3 linked regions of the Stegostoma tigrinum genome follow. The protein of the gene in region 3 interacts with the protein of the main gene of each other region in a pairwise test. Links are inferred from orthologs where the notes say so. Each region holds a gene or a part of one and is shown on either strand. Other genes may lie near its edges.

The links. The genes of interacting proteins can lie anywhere in the genome.
Region 1: the proteins of neflb (region 3) and ski-like protein interact in binary tests that used the Homo sapiens proteins (3 or more experiments, as listed by UniProt). The link is inferred for Stegostoma tigrinum from reciprocal best matches to the Homo sapiens genes NEFL and SKIL.
Region 2: the proteins of neflb (region 3) and ubiquitin carboxyl-terminal hydrolase 2-like interact in binary tests that used the Homo sapiens proteins (3 or more experiments, as listed by UniProt). The two-hybrid records come from large-scale screens. The link is inferred for Stegostoma tigrinum from reciprocal best matches to the Homo sapiens genes NEFL and USP2.

Annotation. Positions count from the first base shown.
Region 1 is NC_081367.1:61,088,150-61,096,010, forward strand, and holds the start of ski-like protein, read left to right. Parts: upstream 1-4,824; 5' UTR 4,825-6,137; coding exon 6,138-7,253; intron 7,254-7,861. UniProt on the Homo sapiens protein: May have regulatory role in cell division or differentiation in response to extracellular signals.
Region 2 is NC_081385.1:1,061,283-1,069,351, reverse strand, and holds the start of ubiquitin carboxyl-terminal hydrolase 2-like, read right to left. Parts: upstream 3,038-8,069; 5' UTR 3,030-3,037; coding exon 2,969-3,029; intron 1-2,968. UniProt on the Homo sapiens protein: Hydrolase that deubiquitinates polyubiquitinated target proteins such as MDM2, MDM4 and CCND1. Isoform 1 and isoform 4 possess both ubiquitin-specific peptidase and isopeptidase activities.
Region 3 is NC_081393.1:5,042,582-5,050,248, reverse strand, and holds the start of neflb (neurofilament light chain b), read right to left. Parts: upstream 3,048-7,667; 5' UTR 3,026-3,047; coding exon 2,000-3,025; intron 1,652-1,999; coding exon 1,527-1,651; intron 512-1,526; coding exon 243-511; intron 1-242. UniProt on the Homo sapiens protein: Neurofilaments usually contain three intermediate filament proteins: NEFL, NEFM, and NEFH which are involved in the maintenance of neuronal caliber.

The DNA.
Region 1 (7,861 bases), on a different chromosome or scaffold from region 3:
CCTGCATCCACCTATTACCATCCCACCTATTTTCCCCCAGACCCAGCACCCCTTAATTATTTGAGTTCGCTTCCCTGTCCAAGTCCTGAAGAAGGATTTAAACCTGAAATATTGACTTTCTTGCTCCTCTGATGCTGCCTGACCTGCTGTGTTCCTCCAGCTCCACACAGATACCACGGTGATGCAAATCTTGAGTTGGAGCCTCTGAGCCCTTAACACGTGTTTCAGAATTTGTTGCTTCTCAAGCTAAGTTGTTCCATCACAATGTGCAAAATTGCCCAGGTATGTCTTGTGTACAAAAAGGAGGACAAAACTAACCCAATTACCCTCAATCAGTCTACTCTTGATCATCAGTAAAATGTTGAAAGGTGTCATCAACAATGCTATCCAGCAGCGTCTGTTCAGCAGTAACCTGCTCACTGATGATTTGGAATCCACCAGGGCCAGCCTTCATTCAAACATAGCCAGAGGTGAGGTGGGAGTGACATACCATGACATCAAGGCTGCATTTGACCCAGTGTGATATCATGGAGCTGTAGCAAAAGTGAAATTAATTGGTATCAGGGGTAATCTCTCGACTGGTTGGACTCATTCCTGGCATATAGGAAGATTTTTGTGGTCATTGGAACTCAGTCACCTAATCTCCAGGGCGTCGCTGCAGGACTTCCTTAGGCTAGTATCCTAGGCCCAATCATCTCCCGCTGCTTCATCATGACCTTCACTCCCTCATAAGGTCAGAAGTAGGGATGCATGCCACTAATTGCACAATGTTCAGCACCATTCACGATTCCTCAGACAATGAAATGGTCCATGTTCAAACGCAACAAGACCTGGATAATATCCAGGCTTGGGCAGACAAGTGGCAAGAAAAACTTATGCCAGGCAATAACCATCTCCAATAAGAGTTGATAAAATCACCACCCTTGACCTACAATTGTGTTACCATCATTTAAACACCCCCTGTCAACATCTTGGGATTACCATTGACCAGAAACTCAAGTGGACTTGCCACATAAACACAATGGCCACCCCAGCAGGTCCAAAGTTAGGAATGCTGTAGTGAGTAACTGACTTCCTGACTCCGCACAGCCTGTCTACTATTTACAAGACACAAGTCAGGAGTGCAATGGGATACACCCCACTGGCCTGGATGAGTGCAGCTCTAACAACACCGAAGAAGCTTCATACCTTCCAGGACAAAGCAGATAGGTTGACTGGCTCCACATCCACAAGTATCCACTCATTCCACACTGACGCTTAGTAGCAGCAGTGCGTATTATCTACAAGATGCACTGCAGAAATCTATCAATGATCCTTAGACTGCACTTTCCAAGCCCATGACGATTTGCATCTCAAAGGGCAGAAGAGACGTGGGAAAGTCACCATCTGCAACTTCCCCTCCGAGCCGCTCACCATCCATTTTGGCAAATATATCATGGTTACTTCACTGTTATTGGGGCAAAAATCGTGGAATTCCCTCCCTAAGGGTATTGTGACTCAAACTACAGCACATGGACGACAGCAGTTCAAAAAGGCATCTTACCTCCACCTTCTCAAGCACATATAGGAATGGGCAGTAAATGTAGTGTTCCTCCAGCTCTACACTGTTATCTCTGACACCAGCAGCTGCAGTTCTTACTATCTCTGGGCAATAAATGCTGGCCAGCCGGCAATGCCTAAATCCCACAAGTGAAAAACACAAAAACAGAAGCATTGAGTCTGTACTGCCAGAAGGGTTTTGAGGTCAGAGTCATATACATGTTTGTAAGACGATGACTTTGTTTCTCTGATAAGAGACTCAGTCAGTTTGATATAACTGTGAAGACACAGGCAATTTTTTAGGATAGTTAACTGGCTGTCTGACACCTTTGGAAGCTTTGCGATGTCAGAAACCCATCATATATATATTCAATTCAGAACATAGGAGTAAATTAAGGTATAAAATGACAGTGTGATTGTAAAAGATTAACAGCCCTGAGGCCGAGAGTTCAATCCTAACAGCACAGTTTCAGTTAATCTATGCAAGTAAATCTGTGAGCTAGCATCAGGTATAATGACAATGAATACTGCACATTATAAAGCCCAATGTTTTTGTGATAAGGGAGCTGTATTCTCAATGTAACTCTAACACCGCAGCATGTGGTTGACTGTCAAGCTTCTGAATAACTGGTCATACTGTGGACCCGCCAGAGTTTCCCACATCCTGAGAACTGGTGGAAAATACTTCGGTTTAGTTCTGAAAATACGATTCATATTTATCTTGAAACATTAACTCCCTCCATAGATGCTGCCATCCTGCTGAATTTCTTCATCTTAAAGATTTCAGGGCATTATTTAGAATTCTTCCATACATTTATCTCTCAAATCAATACCTTAAAACAAATTTTCTGGTCATTATCAGATTTCTCCTTTGGTAAAATGGTCCTGTTTTCTGTGGATAGACCCTTGATGACAAACTGTGTTCGGGCAAACCATATTACCAGTTCACAAAGTAGTCCTCAAATGAATAGTAATGACTAATTGGTTATTAGCTGTAGTCTATGAAGGACAGTAAGAATCTCTCTCTCCATTAGAAAGAGACAATTGGTTAAGCTTGAGGGACATCATCGTATCATCGAGTTACACAGCACAGAAACAGACCTTTCAGTCCAATTCATCCATGCAAACTGATTTAGTCCTATATGTCAGCATTTGGCACATATCCCTCTAAATGCTTCTACTCCTACAATAAGAGAGTCATAGCGTGGTACGGTATGGAAAACAGACCCTTTGGTCCAATCAGTTCATGCCTATCATGTTTCCAAGCTAAACTAATTCTACCTACCTGCACTTGAACCATATCCCTCTAACCCTTCCTATTCATGTACCCATCCGGTGGCCTTTTAAATGTTGTAATCGTACCCACTTCTACCACTTCCTCTGGCAGCTCATTCCATACTCTTGTGAAAATCTTGTCCCTTAGTTACCTTTCAAATCTTTCCCCTTTTACCTGAAACCTATTGCCCTCTAGTTTTGGACACCCCTACCCTGGGAGAAAGACCTTGGCTATTCAGCCTACTCATGCCTCTCTTGATTTTATAAACCTCTGTAAGATCATCCTTCAGCCTCCAACACTCCAGGGAAAACTTCATATCATGTTGAAATTCAGGCAAATGAAACTCCACGAATACCACAGCTGGTACAGATCCATGCTGTTGGTGTCTTTCTGTACCACATCCTAGCCATCTAACCAACTGAATTAACTGACTTTAACCATGAAAAAATGCATGCCTGAACTATTAATGGTTATTCAGGTTCAGATCAGGACCCATCTTTCACCAAGCTCACTATAGTCAGTCAATGGGTGGAGCTTGGCAGATTCAATTTAGTAGTACTGTAGAAATCACTGAACCAGTAGACATTATGTACCATAATAATAAATAATATAAAAAGAAAGGGTGCAGGAAAAAAATATCTCAGTCTAGCAGCACTGAGCAGAAAAAGATGAAGGCTGAGGTTATGACCTAAAGTTCAACTTATTTCAAAATCTTAGTTTGTTTCTTCATCCCTTCAGATGGTTTTACGCACTTGTTTGTCCTTACCTTATAAAGAACCTCTGTTTCTTCACTATGTGCGTTACCAGCTGTAGCTCATCTTTATGGTCATCCTGGGAATAGGATCAAAACCAGTCAGTAATCTCAAATGGGTATGTATTGGACTGTACCATCCTCTCTCACCTTTTTGGTTTGGAGGAAATGGTCAAATTGGTCAGTGGAAGATTAATCATGCGTTAAAAAACATACCTTTTCTCTGTAGGCAGGCCCATGAAATTGAGGATGTTTTGCTTCCATTTTGTTTCAATGGATATTGCAGACATTTTTTTACTTTTGCGTGGGTGCGGACATCAGGGGCAAGGTCAGCATTTGCTTCCCATCCCTAACTGCCCTCAAATTGAATGGCTTCCCAGATCATTTCAGAGAGAAAGTAAGATTCAATTTCATTGCTGTGCATCTGGAGTCACATGTAAGTCAGGCCAGTTAAGGATAGCAGATTTCCCTCCCTGAAGCACATTAATGAACAAGATGGGTTTTTTCTGTAATTGCTGATGGTCTCACAGTCATTGTTACTAATACTACCTTTCAATTCCAGATTTTGTGAACTGAATCTACATTCTGCCCATGCTATTAGAATCATCCCAACAGAGAATCATTCTCTTTATTTACTAGTCTCCCCTAGCACTAAGCCACCATCTTCTCCCAAAGCCTCTTCCACATGTGGAGTAAGTAGTGCTTGAGCGAGTTGCTGGGTGGATGGTTTTATAATTATGTGGCTAAGCTACGTCCCCAGATGAACACTGGCTGTATCTTATAATTGTGATTGTCCACTGGAACCATTGGTTTACTTTGGTGCATTCACTGCCACTAATCTTTCTTTGTTGGATTAGTCCCAGATTTTAAAAAACAAGTGGGAGAGGATGACCACTCAAGCTTTTCTGTAGAAGAAGGCTATAGTCTTGAAATAAAGATTAAAGATTTATTACATAATACTGACTGGGTGGTTATATTACATGTAATATGTTTTTAGGGAGGTAATGGTAATATCACTGGACTAGCAATCTTTCAGAATAAATTTTAAAAAAATCATTTGAGTGATTGCGAAGGTTCTTTGGGATTTCCAGAAGTGGTGAAGGACGCCACTGTGTCAACAGATAATAATTTACCTGCATTCTTTGCAGTCGGGGTGTCCCTTTAAGGGCAATGTGGTCAGGTGACCGGGCGTTCAGGGTCGGAGACTGTGAGTCAGCGCTCCGTCTCGCCGGCTGCGTGACGTCGGCGTTTCCTGAGTGGGCGGCGGTGACGTCGATGCTTTCTGTGCGGCGGTGCTCCGCGGCGAAGCGAGGGAGACAGACAGACAGATAGACGGGGCACGACAGTCTGTCTGTCTTTGTCACACAGCCGGTCCCCGGGGAGGTGAGGATTGTCAAAGACGCCTTGAGGAGCACTGCGAGTAACAAAAGCGGGAGAATTGTGCGGGTGTGGGAAGAGGCGGAAGGAAGGAAGGCCTCTGGGAAGAGGAGGGGGTTCCGAGTATTTGACAGGTCCCCGGGACAGCGAAGCGGAGCGCTCGGCCTGTCAGCAAGCACCAACCCATCCGGCACTGGGACTGTGTAATCATTGACATACAGTGGTTATATAATTATACATACAACTCAGAGATACATGTGAGGGGATATTAAATTGAAAGCGGCCTGGAGTCTGGAACTGTCAGTCCTCAGTCGCCAGGACTCCCTCTCTCCTTTTTAACCCCCCTCCCCCACTTCATTTACATTTCCAACCTGCTTTTGGATTAGAGAAGCCGCCGTCGATCTCAAGAAACAGGCTGTCCTCCCCCCGCCCCCACTCCCTGGGGGAGGCAAGATTTCAGTCAGCAGGCCCTCCCTCCACGTTGCTGCAAAGGAGCCGAAGTAGGGTGGGAGAGAGAATCGTCGTTTCATCGAGGAGAGGGTAGCGACGCCTCCCGATTTTTATTTCTCTCGTTCACTCTCCCAAAGTAAGGGGCTTCATGCCAGTCTTCAGTGAGTCGCACCAGGCGTGCCTTGGATCGACAATGTGTTAAATTCAGTCGCGAGAAAGAAAAGAAATTTAAATTAGGAAGACAGAAGTACGGACGATTTGCCGTGTCTTTGGCACATCCCACGTGAAATAGTGGTTTGGATCCAAGTGTTTTTCTGGTTAGAAGGTGTATTTCCTCCCATCTGGCGAATGACCAAATCAGTGCTGAGAAATTTCAAACGAGTAGAAGGTTGGTTCGCCACCTGCTGAGCAGATCGTGTTTGTGTGTGTGGTTTTCGTTACTCGTCTGAGTATTGGCAGCGGAATCGGACTGTACAACCCGGCACTGTGGTGGGATTAATTTGGCTGGGATGTGCAAATGTGGAATCAGTCGAAATTCGGATTTTGCCTTGATTAGCTTGGTGATATAGAGACTTAAGACATTGTTCACAACATTCTAATTTCTACCAATGATATGTGACCAGAATGTATTGAAATGCACGACGACCATCGTGTGCTAATTTTGTAGGCGACAGTCATTTAATCTAAAGTTGTGCCTGGATATATAAATTGGGGGAAAAAAAACTGGTACGTTTCCCAGTAGCCATGACAAGTGTACAAGGAGCTATGAGAGTGATGGATGGAGTTAACTTGGGTGAAGTGATTGTAAAAAAGGAGCCAGTATATGACGGAGTGGGAGAACGAAGCAACGTGGAAAAGGAGTTTGATGGTAGAATTACACATATGCTCAGAGCCCCAGGAGTAAAGCTAGAAAGTGGACAGGGCCTTGGAGTGGAGGAGACAGCGCACACAGATGTGTGTGTGCCCAAAGCTTGCCTGTTGTCAGGAGTTCGTCCATTGGATCTTAACCCTGCTCTCAAACACACATTGGCTCAGTTTCACTTGAGCAGTCAGAGCTCTCTGGGTGGGCCAGCAGCATTTTCGGCACGTTGTACTCAAGAGTGTATGTCGCCAGGGGGGCTAATGCCCATGACATCACCCCCTGTGCTGCCAGGACCATTGCTTATACCCTCAGACAGTTCAACTGAGCTCACGCATACTTTATTGGAAGGAGAAACTATCTCCTGCTTCATGGTTGGTGGGGAGAAGAGGCTGTGTTTGCCACAGGTCCTAAATTCAGTTCTGCGAGATTTCTCTCTTCAACAGATCAACACTGTCTGTGATGAGCTGTATATTTATTGCTCAAGATGTACGGCAGAACAGCTACAAATTCTCAAAGTCCTAGGCATCTTGCCTTTCAATGCTCCCTCTTGCGGACTTATAACACAGACTGATGCACAGAGGTTATGTAATGCCTTGGTTCATGCAGGCATACTGCCTCCAGATGCCAACAAACTCCCTGGCAAAACATGCCTTGCCCAGTTACAGAGCACTGGTTCCAGTTTTGAAGTAGAACATTGGTGTCTTGGGAAATGTCAAGGTCTGTTCGTGCCGCAGTTATACAGTCACCCTGATGCTACCTGCATTCAGTGTCTGGACTGCCACATGATGTTTTCACCCCAGAAGTTTGTCCTGCATTCGCACAGGTCTCCAGACAAGAGAACCTGCCACTGGGGCTTTGATTCAGCTAAATGGCGCTGCTATGTGCAACTGAGCCGTAAATATGCAGAAACATCTGAAGAAAAGTTCTTACAGCAATGTTTGGAAGAAATGAAAGACAGATTCAACCTCAATAACCAGCGAAAAAGACTGCTTCCAAAGGTAAGTTCCATTTTTCACTTGAAGGAGAATTTTGCTGATGATATGTTTCTGTGAACAAATATTTCCTGGTCAATACTTACCTCTCGACCAACCTCAGTGAAAACAAATGATCTGGCATGAATTTAATTCCTGTATGTGGTAGATACCCTGCATTTTAATACTGGATACTACGTTGGCTGTTGAATACTGAGATGCCTAAACAGTTGAGATAGTTAATGTGAGACCTTTCTTTTTTCCAAGATATCTTAAATCTGTGTTTTGTATGGGGTGAGTGGTGCATTGGCTTAAATGTAGTGATTTTGACATCTGAGAAATCATTCAAATTCAACCGGACTGATGGGACCAAAAAAAATGTCATCTCTACTCGTTGCCTAAATGGTTGCAAGTGAAAAAAGTCTCACTCCAGTTCCAGATGAGCCTCCAATACAAAACTGGCCATAATTTTACATTGACTGACAATCTTCCTAAGACCACAGCTTCTGGTTTAGAAAATAGAAAACACAGTATCACTCTGGTGTAATTGTAAGTACCCTGTTGTCTTTGGGATTTAGACATAATAGGAGTATATAGTGTGACATGAAAGAATAATTCTAATGATGCGAGGAATC
Region 2 (8,069 bases), on a different chromosome or scaffold from region 3:
GTTTAAAACCTGGGAAATGGGACAGAAATCTAATATGTAGGTTGAATGTATTGTTAATTCTGAACTATGAACAGAAACTTCTTGCCTAAGCTGTTAATCACTCTGCCTGGGCCTCGTTTCCAGTAAAATCAGACCAGTGACCTGACTGGCCCTCAGCGGACACTGTAATGTCACTGTCTCCACACAGCAAAACTGTTACTGAAATGCTTGTTTGCGCTCACACTTCAATCTTCTGGGGTCAACTAGCCTGACCAGCATTCGAGCCTCCACCCAAAGTAACATGTACATTCCTATAGCACCTTTCACAATCTCAAAAGTGTGACAATAACGCAATAATCAAAGTAAATATTTACATCATCACTATTGACAAATGAGTGGGAGTTACCACAGTCTTACCAGCCCATAGAGCTGATACAGTGTGGAGCTGAAGGAACACATTAGGTCAGGGAGTACAAGAGGAGCAGGAGAGTTGATGCTTCAGGCCTTCATCAGGGTCTAGACTTGAAATATTGACTCTTTTGCTCCTCTGATGCTGCCTGGCCTGCTGTGTTCCTCCAGCTCCATGTTATCACTGACTCCAGCATTGTCTGTTCTTCCATTGGGCTGCTCTCTCCTTAGAGAGAGACAACTGGGGGTGGTTTAACTTGAGGGTCAGATATCTCATGTGAGGGGGGAGGTTGAGAGGAGACTCCTTTGTGGTAACCTCAGCCAGGGTGGGAGTTGAGGGTCAGCGCTGAAGGATCTCTTTGGAGGGAGCTGAACTCAAACGGTGGGCATCACTCTACTTCACAAACCAACCACCCAGCCAGCTGAGTATAGTTAGAGCCACTGAAGCTGTTCTTCAAAATAACAGACTTGGGTTCTTTTTACATATATCTGCCAGGCAGGATCCAGCAGGTGTTTATCCGAAAGAGAACACCTCCCTCAGCACTGAGCTGTGACAGGGACGGACTCCCTCAGCACGCACCCTCCAAGGTTAGGGGGAAGAGGATCCCTCAGCACTGACCTTCCAAGGGGGAGGGCATCCCTCAGCGATAACCCTCTGACGTGGGGGGAGAGGATCCCTCAGTGCTGACCCTCCAGGGGAGGGGTTCCCTCAGCACAGATCTTCTGGGGGGCGGGGGAGGTGATCCCTCGGTGTTGACCTTCTGAGGGTGGAGGGAATCATTCAGCGCTGACCTTCCCGGGGCGGGGGGGGGTGCGAGGGGATCCCTCAGTGCTGACCCTCCAAGGGGGGGACGGGATCCCTCAACTTTGACCCTCTGAAGGGGGAGGGGCTCACTCAGCGCTGACCTTCCAGGGAGGGGGGGGATTCCTCATTGCTGACCCTCCAAGGAGGGAGGAGAGCCCTCAGCGCTGACCTTTTGAGGGGAGGGGCGGGGATCCCTCAGTGCTGACCCTCCAAGGGGGGAGGGGCTGATCCCTCAGCACTAACCCTCCAAGGGGAGGGGAGGTTATCCCTCAGTGCTGATCCTACAAAGGAGGGGAGGGGATCCCTCAGCACTGACCATCCGAGGGGGGAGGGGATCACTCAGCGCTGACCCTCCGGGGGGGGGGGAGGGGATCCCTCAGGACTGACCTTCCGATGGGATAGGGGATCCCTCAGTGCTGACCCTCCAAGGAGGGGAGAGGGGATCCCTGACTGCTGACCCTCCAAGGGGGGTGGGAGGGGATCCCTCAGTGCTGACCCTCCACGGGATGGAGGGGGTGAATCCCTCAACACTGACTCTCCAAGGTGGGGGGGGGGGGCGGGTGGGGGTGGTGGCGGGGAGGAGGAGCTGCTTTTGAAATACAGGCCTGATGGATGTGCTCCATTCAGTAGAATGTTTTCAGCATTCAATTGGATAATGGCTTTACTTGAGCCTGAAGAGGAGTAAGGGAAGAATTAGAATTAAGTTTTATTGTCATTGTACTCAAGTACAGGGGCCAGTAAAAAGTTTACAAAGTTGTCATTCTGCTCTAGAGGAAGGATATGGTGGACAGGTCTGTTCACCAAAAATGTTTACGGGTAAGAATGTGGAGATTACAGAACGGATTTCCAAGTGATTACCAAATGGGACATGTTTACAGGCTGTTCTCCAGTAGCTCCCTGTGTGAGAGACTCTCAGGCAGATTCTGCCACCTCGTGTTAGATTAATGTATTGACACAGTCTCCCAAACTCCAAATTTACAAAACCTGTCCCTGTACTGTAGCCTGCCTGTAGATTGTACACTCACCCTGCCTGCTCTACATCAGCATCAGCCCTCACTCAGGATTGTGCAGGAGAGGGAAAAACCATTGAAGGTGAGGCGATTCACCAACTTTGAAAAATTTGCTGAGGAGGAAGATTCAGATTTTGTTGTGGGAATGTATTTAATTTACTCCAACACCTTCCTTCATCTTCAAACACAGAACACCACAGCGCCACTTGATGGTGATTCAATATGGATTCAGGCCACAAGCACATTGTCTCCTGCGCTGCTTCTAGAATAGGAAGATGGCTCAAAACCTCTGTAAAAGAATGGGTGGTCCAGGAAAGAGAATATCACACTGGAACCATCAGGTGGTTTCAACTTGTGTTGGGACAGAGTAGAGGAAGCTTTACTCTGCATCTAATACCATGCTGTCCCTGTTCTGGGAGTGTTTAACGGGGACAGTGTAGAGGAAGCTTTACTCCGTATCTAATCCTGTGTTATCCCTGTTTAATGAGGACAGTGTGTAGGGATGTTTACTGTGTATCTAACCCCATGCTGTCCCTGTGCTACGAGTGTTTAAATCTATTCCATGCGGCATTGACAGCTTCACAATGTGTGCAAAACAAATTCAACAAGGCAATGCAAGGCAATACAAGGCAATGCAAGGCAATACAAGGCAATACAAGAAACAGATCTTCTAAGACAGAACTCTGCAGAAATATGTGGCAGATGAGTGTAAGCACATCAAGAGGCGAGGGTACCTGTAGGAAAACAAATAGAATGAAAAACCTACTTCCATTTTTCACTATTCTTGTCTCAATTTCAGGCCATTTGCTTGGTATTCCCCACATCATTGAGCAGCTTCCTTTCCTCACTATGGCAACTGCTTTGATTACAGCTATCCCACACCACACTGCGAAACAACCCAACACAGAGATCTGGCAGGAAGAGGGAAGCTTGAGTTCACAAGCAAGTCTAGGCTTGCTCCTAATAGGGCATTGACAAAAACACACTGACACAGAGACAGTGACAGACTGATACAAAGAAACACACAGAAGCAAAGACAGAGAAACTCATACAGAAACAGAGAAAAAGACAGACAGACACACACACACAGGGTTTCACATAGATACAGAAACACAGGCACAAAGTCAGGGCGTCACACACAGGCACAAAGACAGGGCGTCACATAGATAAACACACACACACAGGCACAAAGACAGGGCGTCACTCACACACACACCCACACACACAGGGCGTCACATAGATAAACACACACACACACACACACACACACACACACACACACACACACACACACAGGCACAAAGACAGGGCGTCACTCACACACACACACACACACACACACACAGGCACAAAGACAGGACGTCACACACACACACACACACACACACACACACAGGCACAAAGACAGGGTGTCACTCACACACACACCCACACACACAGGCACAAAGACAGGGCGTCACATAGATAAACACACACACACACACACACACACACACACACACACACACACACGCACACACACACACAAACACATAGATACAGAAACTCAGACATAAAGACACAGACACACATGCGCGCACACACAGAAACACACAGACTTGAACAAAGAGGTTTGAGGGTAGACAGTGAAAAGTTGCTGGGCATGTTCAAAATTTGTTGTTATTTATTTGTGGGACATTGGCTTCACTGGCCAGGCCAGCATTTATTGCCCAGTTGCCCTCAAGAAGGTGGTCATGTGCTGCCTCCTTGAACCACTGCCATCCATTTGGAGTAGGTGCACCCACAAAGTGCTTCGGGAGGGAATTCCAGCATTTTGATCAGGTGTCAGTGAAGGAACAGCGACATATTTTCCCAAGGCAGGATGGTGAGTGGTTTGAAGGGGAACTTGCAGATGATGGTGTTCCATGTAGTGGCTGCCCTTGACATTCTAAATGGAAGTGGTTGTGAGTTTGGAAGATAATGTCTAAGAATCTCTGATGAATTTCTGAAGAGCATCTTGTAAAAAGTACACACTGCTGCGACTGAACATTGGTGGAGGAGGGAGTGGATGCTTGTGGATGTGGTGCCAATCAAGTGTGTTGTTTTGTCCTGGAACGTGTCAAGCTTCTTGAGTGTTGTTGAAGCTGCACCCATCCAGGCAAGTGGGGAGTATTCCATCCCACTCCTGACTTGTGCCTTGTAGATGGTGGATAGGCTTTGAGGAGGCAGGAGATGAGTTACTCACTGCAGTATTCCCAGCTTCTGACCTGGTCTTGTGTTTATGTGGAAGTAGAATTTCTGGTTAGTGGTAACCCCTGGGATGTTGATAGTGTAAAACTCAGTAATGGTAACAATATTGAACGGTAAGGGCCAGTGATTAGGCTGTTGCCTGCTGGGGATGGTTATAGCTTGGCATTTGTGTGGCCGAGGAACTCCAGCAGAGATGTCCTGGGGCATTTGTGTGGCCGAGGAACTCCGGCAGAGATGTCCTGGGGCATTTGTGTGGCCGAGGAACTCCGGCAGAGATGTCCTGGGGCATTTGTGTGGCCGAGGAACTCCGGCAGAGATGTCCTGGGGCATTTGTGTGGCCGAGGAACTCCGGCAGAGATGTCCTGGGGCATTTGTGTGGCCGAGGAACTCCGGCAGAGATGTCCTGGGGCATTTGTGTGGCCGAGGAACTCCGGCAGAGATGTCCTGGGGCATTTGTGTGGCCGAGGAGCTCCGGCAGAGATGTTCTGGGGCATTTGTGTGGCCGAGGAACTCCGGCAGAGATGTCCTGGGGCATTTGTGTGGCCGAGGAACTCCGGCAGAGATGTCCTGGGGCATTTGTGTGGCCGAGGAACTCCGGCAGAGATGTCCTGGGGCATTTGTGTGGCCGAGGAACTCCGGCAGAGATGTCCTGGGGCATTTGTGTGGCCGAGGAACTCCGGCAGAGATGTCCTGGGGCTGAGATGACTGACCTCCAACAATCACGACCATCTTCCTCTGTGTCAGGTATGACCCCAACTACTGGAGCATTTGCCCCCTGATAGACATTGATTCTGGTTTTGCTACGGCCCCTTGATGCCGCACTTGGTCAAATACAGCCTTGATATCAAGGGTTGTCACTCTCACCTCACTCTGGAATGCAGCTGTTCTGTCCATGTTTGAACCAAGGCTGTAATGGGGTCAGGAGCTGAGTGGCCCTGGTGGAACTCTGATTTTTTCTCCACAGATGATGTCAGACCTGCTGAGCCTATCCGGCAACTTCCATTTTTGCCTCTGATGACAGTAATTGGTAATTGGCCGGGTTGGATTTGTCCTGCTTTTTATCTCCAGGACATACATCGCCAATTTTCCACATTGTCGAGTAGATCCCAGTGTTGTAACTATACTGGAACAGCTTGGCTAGGGGAGTGGCAAGTTCTGGAGCACAAGTCTTCAGTACTATTGCTGAGACGTTGTCAGGGCCCGTAGCCTTTGCAGTATCCAGTGTCTCCAACTGTTTCTTGACATCACGTGGAGTGAATGGAATTGGCTGAAGACTGGTATCTGTGAAGCTGGGGACCACTGGAGGAGGCTAAGATGGATCATCCACTCGGCACTTCTGGCTGAAGATTGCTGCGAATGCTTCAGCTTTATCTTTTGCACTGATGCGCTGGGCTCTTCCATCATTGAGGATGGGGATGTTTGTGGAGCCCCCTCCTTCAGTGAGTTGTTTAATCATCCTCTACTACTCGCCACCGGATGTGGCAGGACTGCAGAGCTTAGATCTGATCCATCAGTTGTGGGATTGATTAGCCCTGTCTATCACTTGCTGCTTTCACTGTTTGGTGTGCAAGTAATCCTTGTTTGTTGGCTTCACCAGATTGATGCCTCATCTTCAAGTAAGCCTGGTGCTGCTGCTGGCATGCCCTCCTGCACTCTCCATTGAACCAGAGTTGATGGTAATGGTTGAGTAGGGAATGTGCCAGGCCATGAGGTTACAGATTGTGCTGGAGTACAGTTCAGCTGCTGTTGATGGCCCACGGTGCCTCATGGATGCCCAGAATGAGCTGCTACATCTGTGTGAAGTCTGTCCCATTTAGCACAGTGATAGTGCCACGCAATACGCTGGAGGTCGTTCTCCTTGTGAAGGCAGGACTTGGTCTCCACAGGGACTGTGCGATGGTCACTCTTGTGAGGGACTTGGTAACCCAGTGAGGGTCAGCACTTTCAGGAGGGGAGGGGGAGCCCATAGCCCAGTGAGGGTTGTGCTTTTCCCTGGCAAGGGCAAACACTAAATCCAACAATTGAGTCTGATATTGAATCACAGCCACTTGAGTTCTTTCAGATCTCATAGCTCAACTGTTTCAAAGCCCCCATGGCATCTCTGTCTCTCTCACCTGAGAGCTTTAACTGTGTACATATTCATGATATTGTTGCACTTCACCTGTTTGCCTGAAGTCCTGTTACAGTTAATGAGTTTTCTTCAAAAATATTCCCATGAAGCACTTTGTTGGTTCTCAAGGTCATAGTTAGCCCGATCGAACAGTGCAGGTCAAATGCTCAACCAGAAGTCAGTGCTAGCTTTACAACAACAACTTGCATTTAAATGCTACCAAACACATTCAGAGAACAAACTGCTCAACAGGTGGCAGAAGATGGCATTAAAGTAAGATGAACAGGGGTTTTAAGGTGGGCCATGATATCGAGAGGTGGATTGTGTTACAGAAGCAGGAGCATCGAGCAAGAAGGAAGCTATAGAGGCAACAGGCTGGGAGCTGTGAAATCAGAACAAGCAAAGAGATTCGTGAGTCATACCAAGATGGTGGCTGTAACCAAAGACAGTCAAAGTTGGACAGTCACAATGAACGACACTGTAAGGCTGTTGTCTGAAAGATAGGCCTGGGAAGCTGAAGGGGCAGGTGCTAAGAGGAAAGTGATTAATACTTAGGGTGAAAATTGGACTGGAGTTAGACGATCCTAGGTTTCCTGGGTGAAGGAGATTTCAAAGAAAGGGGGCTATACAATGATTACAAATCAGAACAAGAATGGAAACGTTTTACATTTGTGGAAATTGTCTTGTATTTCAGCAGCCAGTGGAACAGCTTCTTTAATTCCATGACAACCTGAAATAGGTCAGCAATCTCCCGAACAAAGTGAAACTGAATCCTAGCTGCTGCCCTGCACCATGGGATGATATTCAGCACCACAGGACAGCTGGGGCTATGTGGAGCCCAGCAATGTAAAATTGGCATTTCCTGCTTTAAAATAAAACCCAGAAATCTCTTCCTTTCAAGAAGCAACATTGCTCATCAGGTTATTAAATCCAGTATTGGAATTTCTCCAACAATTCTCAGGTGCACTTAACGTGATGGCTTTCGAATATGCAAAATGAGTCTTCACCTAAACACAGAGCGCTGCACTGTCGGAGGGTCACTGTTGAGGGAGTGGGCACTGACGGAGGGTCACTGCTGAGGGAGCAGGCACTGTCAGAGGGTCAGTGCTGAGGGAGTGGGCACTATTGGAGGGTCAGTGCTGAGGGAGTGGGCACTGTCAGAGGGTCAGTGCTGAGGGAGCGCCACACTGTCAGAGGGTCGGTGTTGAGGGGGCAGGCACTGTCGGAGGGTTGGTGCTGAGGGAGTGGGCACTGTCGGAGGGTCGGTGCTGAGGGATTGGGCACTGTCGGAGTGTCAATGCTGAGCGAGTGGGTACTGTCGGAGGGTCAGTGCTGAGGGAGCACCGCACTGTCAGAGGGTCAGTGCTGTGGGAGGAGACACTGTCGGAGGGTCAGTGCTGAGCGAGCGCTGCACTGTCGGAGGGTCAGTGCTGAGGGAGTGCTGCACTGTCGGAGGGTCAGTGCTGAAGGAGTGCCGCACTGTCGGAGGGTCACTGTTGAGGGAGTGGGCCCTGACGGAGGGTCACTG
Region 3 (7,667 bases):
TGCTCTCTGATGAAAGAGGAGTGAGACACTATTTTGATGTTCACTGCAAGACCAGAAGGGTCTTGAGTTTCACATCTCAATTAAGGGACGTTCCTACAATGGTTCAACTCTCTTACACTTACTGATTTGGGAGCAGTACCCTCTAGTGCCACTTCAAAACCGCCCCTTCTGGCTCTGGGGTGTGCCAGCGACTGAGTTGGCAGCTCGGTGCTGAGCTGCTGGCCTGGAGAGAAAGTTCTTACCTTCCATGTCTTCTGCCTTGTCAGCAGGGGGTTCCAGCTGTGCTGCCAAAGCGCGGGTCTGCTGCACCACCTCCTCCTCCTCCTCTATCTGACTGCTGCTGCCGTAGGAACTGTACAGTACGGGTCTGCTGGACAGTCCGTAGGCACTGGTCTGAAGAGAGTAACTCGAGCGGCTGTAGACCGGGGCAGTGGCAGTCTGGGCGTAGTTACCGATCAAGCTGCCCACATTGGCGTAGTTAATGCGTGTTTCCTCTCCTTCCAGCAGTTTCCTGAGGGCGGAACAGCAACGCGGTGAGAGCATTTCAGAATCGTGCTGCAGGCTTGTACAATGACATGGCGCTGTGCCTGTGTCCGTACATAGTCAGGGGGTGGGGGGGGGGCAGTTCCTTTTTCTTTCCCCGCAGCCTGGTCAGGTAGTTTATTTTGAAGTGTCGCTGTATATTGCTATCTACTGCACATTTCCTTTCGGGAGTTACACCAGTGAATGTGCGCGTTCGACGCAGGAACCGCTCAGCCCGTTTTGTTTCTCGAACTGCCCACTTCTCGTGTCTAGCTCGACTGTTCCTACCCTGCTCACGGCTTCAGCTGTTCACTGTTCTACCCCGCAAAGGCACTGAGTAAAGCCTTTCAGAATCGTCACCAACCTCGCCCGCCCCCCACCCCCGCACCGCGCCTGTGAAACCCCACGTTGCGGGGCTCTACGATGGGAATGTTGGCCTTACAGTGAGAGACAGTGGAGGCTAACACGTACCTGACACAACGAGGCTGTCACGTTCAACCATCTCACCCCCTCGGCCTCTGTCCCGCACCCCAACCCAGACCAACCCTTCCCGATTGAAATGGTGTATTTCAGCCTGCGGGGCTCTCCTCTGGAACACACTTGGCACACCCTCAGGCTACTTGAAAGACTGCGCCAGACCTGTGTGGATACGCCCCCCTGCGGCGCACCTTACTGGTGCAATGCAGCCCCCTGCAGTAGGGGAGGGGTGGGGTGTGGGCAAAGGGCTGGGAGAGGGGCTGGTACCATTGGACCCAGCGGCTCTGTCACCGGCTTCTGGGTGGGGCTGAGGTCTAGAATGGAAGGGCCGAATGGTCGGTCCTCTTCACCAAGCCGTCCCCAACCCCCCCACCCCCACGTCCCGGCTGGTTAATCAAACAGGCAGAAGCATGGCACTCCACCCATCAAGGAAGGGACACTGCCATCCGTGGGAAAAGGGGCGTAAGTTCCCAGCGGCCCGTCCCTGTACCAGTCCCACCCATAACCGGGGGACCGCCGTCAACTACCTGTAAGCAGCGATCTCAATATCCAGGGCCATCTTCACGTTCAGTAGATCCTGGTATTCCTTCAGGTAGCGGCCCATCTCATTCTTGGTGGTCCTGAGCTCATTCTCCAGCTGGCTGATGGCGTCCTGTGGAGGGGGACATGGGTGGGAGGAGAGAGATTGTCAGAGAGCCCCTGGGTTTCTCTCTGTCGTTTCCTGCTCTGTTCTCTTTTTGATCTCAGGGTCAGCGCCCACGTCCTCTTTGACTGAACTAGATTCTAAATGACACTCTCTTCTCCCCCCTCCACTCGCACACACTCCCTCCGCCATTTTTCTCTCTCTCTCTCTGCCCCCCCTTGCCACAGATCCTGGCTGTTTGTGTGAGAATCTCTCCCTCGGTCTCTCCCCGCTGGACCCTCTGTGTGTCTCTCTCTCTTTCCCGCTCCCAGCCCCGTATCGGCCTTTACCCTGTTGGTCCAGGTTCCATTCTCTTACCTGTAAAGCACTGATCTCTCCGCCCTGTTTCTCATCCAGTTCCAGCAGTTGCCTCTCCAGGGCGTCGTTCATTCCCCTGACGCCGTCGATCTCCAGGGTCTTGGCTTTGACCTGACGCCGGTACTCGATCACCTCGTCCCGGGCTTGCCTGGTCGCGTCGTTGTCCTTGGAAGCGTTCTCGGCCAGCACGGCGAACCGGGTCTTGTACCAGTCTTCGGCGGACTGCATGTTCTTGGCTGCCACCTTCTCGTACTGGCACCGGATCTCCCTCAGGGCAGAGGACAGATCGGGCTTGCCCACGTCCACCTCCACGGACACCTGGGCGTATTGGACCTGAGCCTGCAGCTCGGCGATCTCCTCCTCGTGAATCTTCTTCAGGAACGCGATCTCATCCATCAGGCTCTCGATCCTTTTGTCCACTTCGGCCCTGGCTAGCGCCGCTTCATCCGAGCCCTTCCTGGCTTCCATCAGGCGTCCCTCGGCGTCCTCCCGGTTGAGCAGCTCCTCCTCGTAGCGGGCCTGCAGGTTCTTGACGCTTTCCTCCAAGTGGTCCCTCTCGCTCTGGGCTGCCTGCCTCTCGTGCCTGGCGTCGTCCAGCGCCAACCTCAGCTCCCGCAGCTCCTGCTCGTAGATGCCCTTGAGGCGGGACGGCCCGCCGTGCTTCTGGCGGAGCAGGGAGAGCTCGGCCTCCAGCACCTTGTTCTGCTGCTCCAGTTCGTGGACCTTCTCGATGAAGCTGGCGAAGCGGTCGTTGAGCTCCTGCAGCTGCGCCTTCTCCTGGGTCCTCACCGCCTTGAACTCGCTGCTCACCGCGCTGGCTTGGCTCAGGTCGAAGTTGTCCAGGGCCGACGAGATGCTGTGGGCCTTCCTGGCCGTGAACGCCGGGCTGGAGTACGGGCTGTACACCGCTTTGACGTTACCGCCGTAGTTGCTCCTGAAATGCTGGACAGCTCCGTAGGTCCTGGGCGCTGCGCTGTCTCCATAGCGCCTCCTGTGGAAGTAGGACTCGTAGCTGACGGTGCTCATGGCTGGGCTCGTTCGCTCGAGTGTGCTCTGAGCGCTCTGCACGGTCCCTTTTATAGCAGACCCAGCCCACAGCGAACCGGAGACCCTCCCCTCCCCCTCCCCCCCAATTCCTCCGCCGTCCTGCTCGACAGCAAAAAAATATGCTGCCACTCCCACCGTGCCTGGAAAGCTGCGGGACTGACTGTAGCGAGTTGGGGTATATTTCAAGCACTGCCACTCAACGCCAGTTTGCCAAGGCATGCAGACAGCCTGACATGCTGGAGGAATAGCCTTCGTCGGAGGCTCACTGACGATGTTACCTAGAATGGTGACGAAACGTCTGAAAACGAGCCTTCCAGCTCAGCGAGCAAACTCACATCCAGAATGCTGGAGGAATCCTATCTCCCAGCAGTTGCCCCCTCCCCAACCCACCCCCCCCCCATCCACTTCACCCTCCCTCCCAAGCCTTGTCTGCTGTGGCATTTCAAGCGTTCGCTTCTTCAGGGCCCCTTAAAGTGAGCTAGGGAGGGCGAGAAATCTTCACCTCAAATCCCCTCCTGGCCCCTTGCTTCACAATTGTGTCTCCTGTTATCGACACCCACCCCCGTCACCCCTCCCTCGGCGATAGGGGAAAACATTTCTCTCTATCTATCCTGTCTACGGACCTCAGTACTCTGTACACCTCATTCGGATCCATCCCTAACCCTCCCAGCCAGGCTTCCTTACTGAATGAGAAGCAACCCCACCCTATCCCAGATAGCAAGGTGTACACCTGGATGAAAACAGTAGGCCAAGCAGCATCAGAGGAGCAGGAAAGCTGGCGTTTCGGGTTGAGACCCTTCTTCAGGAATGGGGCAGGGGAAGGGGATTCTGGAATAAATAGGGAGAGAGGGGGAGGCAGATAGAAGGATCCCAATTTTTTGTTTCTTGGTAGCTGAATCACTCCAGCCCAGGATGTTCCTGGTGAATCTCCTCTGCACCCTCTCCAGTGCAATCAATTCCTTCTTACAGTGAAATGACTGGAGCTGCTGCACAGTACTCCAGCTGTGGTTTAACCAAACTCCTGTACAGCTCCAACATACCCTTCCTCATCCCAGAGCCCACCTTGCTGCTTTTTGCTGCACAGCCCCATGCCTCTTTCTCCTGGCTGAGGGAATAATTTATCTGGACCTTTCCTTTTTTATCTTCAGCTGCGAATATCGCTTGCTGGTGATGCTTTGCAGTATTTCTCTCTGGTCTGAATGGCACCCCCAGTAGTACTTTGTTTGCCCCCATGAGGGTCATTACCAGGCTTCAGAGCAGGAGAATCTTGATTGCTGTGCCATAGACTCAGGAAAAATTTCAACTGAGGTGTTTGAAAGCCTATAAAGAGATTCCATACACTGCAAAGACAGACAGATTGACTACTGTCATTACTCCGATAGCTAAAATAGTGGGAGATCTCTTTACAGTCAGAAATGGGCAATTCAAGAATGAATTCTTTGCATAGGTGGTCCTGGAAAGCCAGCAATGGTCTCGCTCCTCCAAACCGATCTGACCACATGTGGGCATTGGAGGGGAGATGGATCTGAATGACAAATTATGGTCAGTGTTATTGAGTCTAGGAGTTGGATAATCACCTTGTGGCTGTACAGGACATCGGTGAGGCCACTTTTGGAATACTGTACTCAGTTCTGGTCTTCCTTCAATTGGAAAGACGATGTTAAAATTGAAAGGGTTCAGAAAGGGTTTAACAGGATGTTGCCAGGGTTGGAGAGTGCAAGCTATAGGGTGAGGCTGAATAGGCTGGGGCTATTTTCTGTGGAATGTCAGAGGCTGAGGGGTGACCTTGTAGAAGTTGATAAAAGCATGAGGGGCATGGATGGGGGAAACAGCCAAGGTCTTTTTCCCAGGGTGGAGGGGGGTCCAAAACTAGACAGCATAGGTTTAAGGTGAGAGGGGAAAAAGGGGCAACTTTTTCACACAGAGGGTGGTGCATGTATGGAACGAGCTGCCAGAGGAAGTGGTAGGAGCTGGTACAATGACAACATTTAATGAGCTTGTGGATAGGTGTCTGAAGATGAAAAGATATGGGCCAAATCCTGGGACTAGATTAATTTAGGAAATCTGGTTGGAATGGACAAGTTGGACTGAAGGTTCTGTTCCCATGTTGTATGATTCCATGATTCAGTGACAACCTGACTACGACATCTGAATGGTTTGTGGGACAGGCTGAATGATTTCCTCCCATTTCCACCCAGACAATAAGCTTGCATCGTCTAACAAATATTTCAGCCTTTAACTTCTTCTGTTGTGCCCTGCCAAACCAGTGTCCCACACAGGTGCTACATGAGGTCTTTGTATTGGAAATGAGGATAGACTGCTTGACGAAGGTTCAAACTGTCCCAGCCTTCCTGAACCAATGAATTTAAAAACCTGCCTCAGTGTTCCACTGGGAAAATCTGTTCCTTGCATCGCAGATGTTGTAGAACCCAGTGAGCAGACCAATGGCTGACGTTGAGGGTGGGTGACCAACATACTGACAGGCCACCTATGATTGACAAGGATTGCAGCCTGATTCCTAGGGTTTGCCATACACAGAGATTTCAGGAACAACTTGGATGAATGACAAAAAGGCAGCCTGACCAATTTTAGATGAGGATCACGTGGTTGTGGCAGGGTGGCTGGGAGAGAGATGGGGAAACTGGGTTTGGCACACAGAGGCACAAGCATTTCACAAGCCTTGCAGGATAACTTGGTAATTTCAGGTCACTGGTAGTGAGCAGAAGAAGATTAGCTGGTGGTTGTACTCAGAAGCTAACAAGCAAGAAAGCCTCCTGTATCCAAATAGCCCCTGCATCATGAGGGAGGGCTGATGTGAATATAACCAATGGCACATTGATCTAGGCCATCAGCTTTAACAGTGAATGCTGATATGTCGCTGCGTTGCTGAGAGAAGACCTTTTTACAATGCGGCCCCTATTAAACGAACAAATCTCGACAAACATTTGTCTGGGTGAGAGCTCACAGGGGAAAAATGAAGGGCATAAGAACTTAACCAGTTGGGGCCAGACAGGAGCTTCAGTGTCCTGTGCCTTTGAGAAGTAACTGCTTGGTGAAGAGGACCTATTGTAACCCAATTTATCCCCTCAGCCGTGTTATTTATTCACTGAGTGGCTGCAGCTAGCTTTATACTGCTAACTCTATAGTATAGCTCTCTACTGCTTCTGTCATGTTAGAGCCAAGCAAATTTGACTTGACTGTCTCCATCCATGTGAGAAACGTGTCTCTGAGCTAAGCTTATAATTTCTTTTTTCTTGTCTTCATGGTCTTAGTATGGCAGTGACATTGGCTGGGCCAGCATTTATCATCCCTCCCTAATAATAGAGTCAAACACATTGGAAATAGACCCTTTGGTCTAACTCATTCACCAGGTATTCTGAACGGAATGCACCCCCTTTGCCTTCATTTGGCCCAATCACTTGGAACTTTTCCTACTCATGTGCCTGTTCAAATGTCTTTTAAATGTTGCAATTTACACTTACCTCGACCACTTCGTCTGGCAGCTCATTCCATACATGCACCAGCCTCTGTTTGAGAAATAAAATAGCCCTTCAGCCAATGGTGGTGATCTCCTGCACTCCATGTGATGTGGGAACAGCCACAGAATGATCAAGATGGGGGTTCCAGGATGTTAGTGTGAATGGCGTTGACACTACACTGGAATCTTATTAATCAGAAGTTGGGGATAATAGGAAAGGAGAAAGCTTGGCCATGAGATGCTTTTTAAAACATTAATTTAAATATGTTGTGCAGGGACTCTTGGTGAAATGGAACTATATCTTGGCAGCTATTATTGGAAGCAAGATCTGTGCAGTGGAGTTAGCAGATGTGAAAGAATTAATTGGTTTTTGTCTTGTTGTTTTAGGCCCTGAACATGTTCCCAAGTGCTTCTCAATCAATGAAATACTTTGTCAAAGTATTTTTGTTCATGTAACGTGTGCCACATTCCTCAGTGAGAAGGAGAATTTAAATTTTCACCCTGATGGCACTCTCAAAAATAGCTGTTAACACATTAAACCCCCATTACATGTGGAACACAGTTTTATTTGTTCTGTTTTGGGACTATATATCCCCATCATGTCATCCATTTAGGATGAGCTCTGAAAATGTTGTTCAAAAGTCCTCCATTCAAGTGGATTGCTTTATTAGGAGTTAGTCAATGTGAAGGCATGTTTTCAGGATTATTTACAGTCTGCAGATATTCTTCAATCACCGTTTCAGGGAAAGTCAAGAGAGGAACAAAGTCCCTGCCTGTTAATGCAGTGAATGGGTGAAGTACAAATCAATTTGTATCTTTGAGTCTTGTGTTGTCTGCTCATTATTTGCTAATGGTTTACGGTCTGAGTTCGGTCACACACCAACTTACATTTATTCTTAGCCTGAATTTTTAAAAGCCAACATCTTGCCCACTTGCCCAGTGTGCAATACTGTTGTTCAGTGGTTGTTGTCAATGTCTCGGAAATTGAGAATTCAGCAAAGAGAGGGAGTTCTTTGACATTGAGTGTAACGGTTCTAATCTCTGAATAAGAAGAGGCTATTGAGTCGCAACAAGCCTGTCTCCCATCACTGAATCTCAGCGTGCAATGACTCACCAAGGCATTTTTTTTCATACTTACCCAAA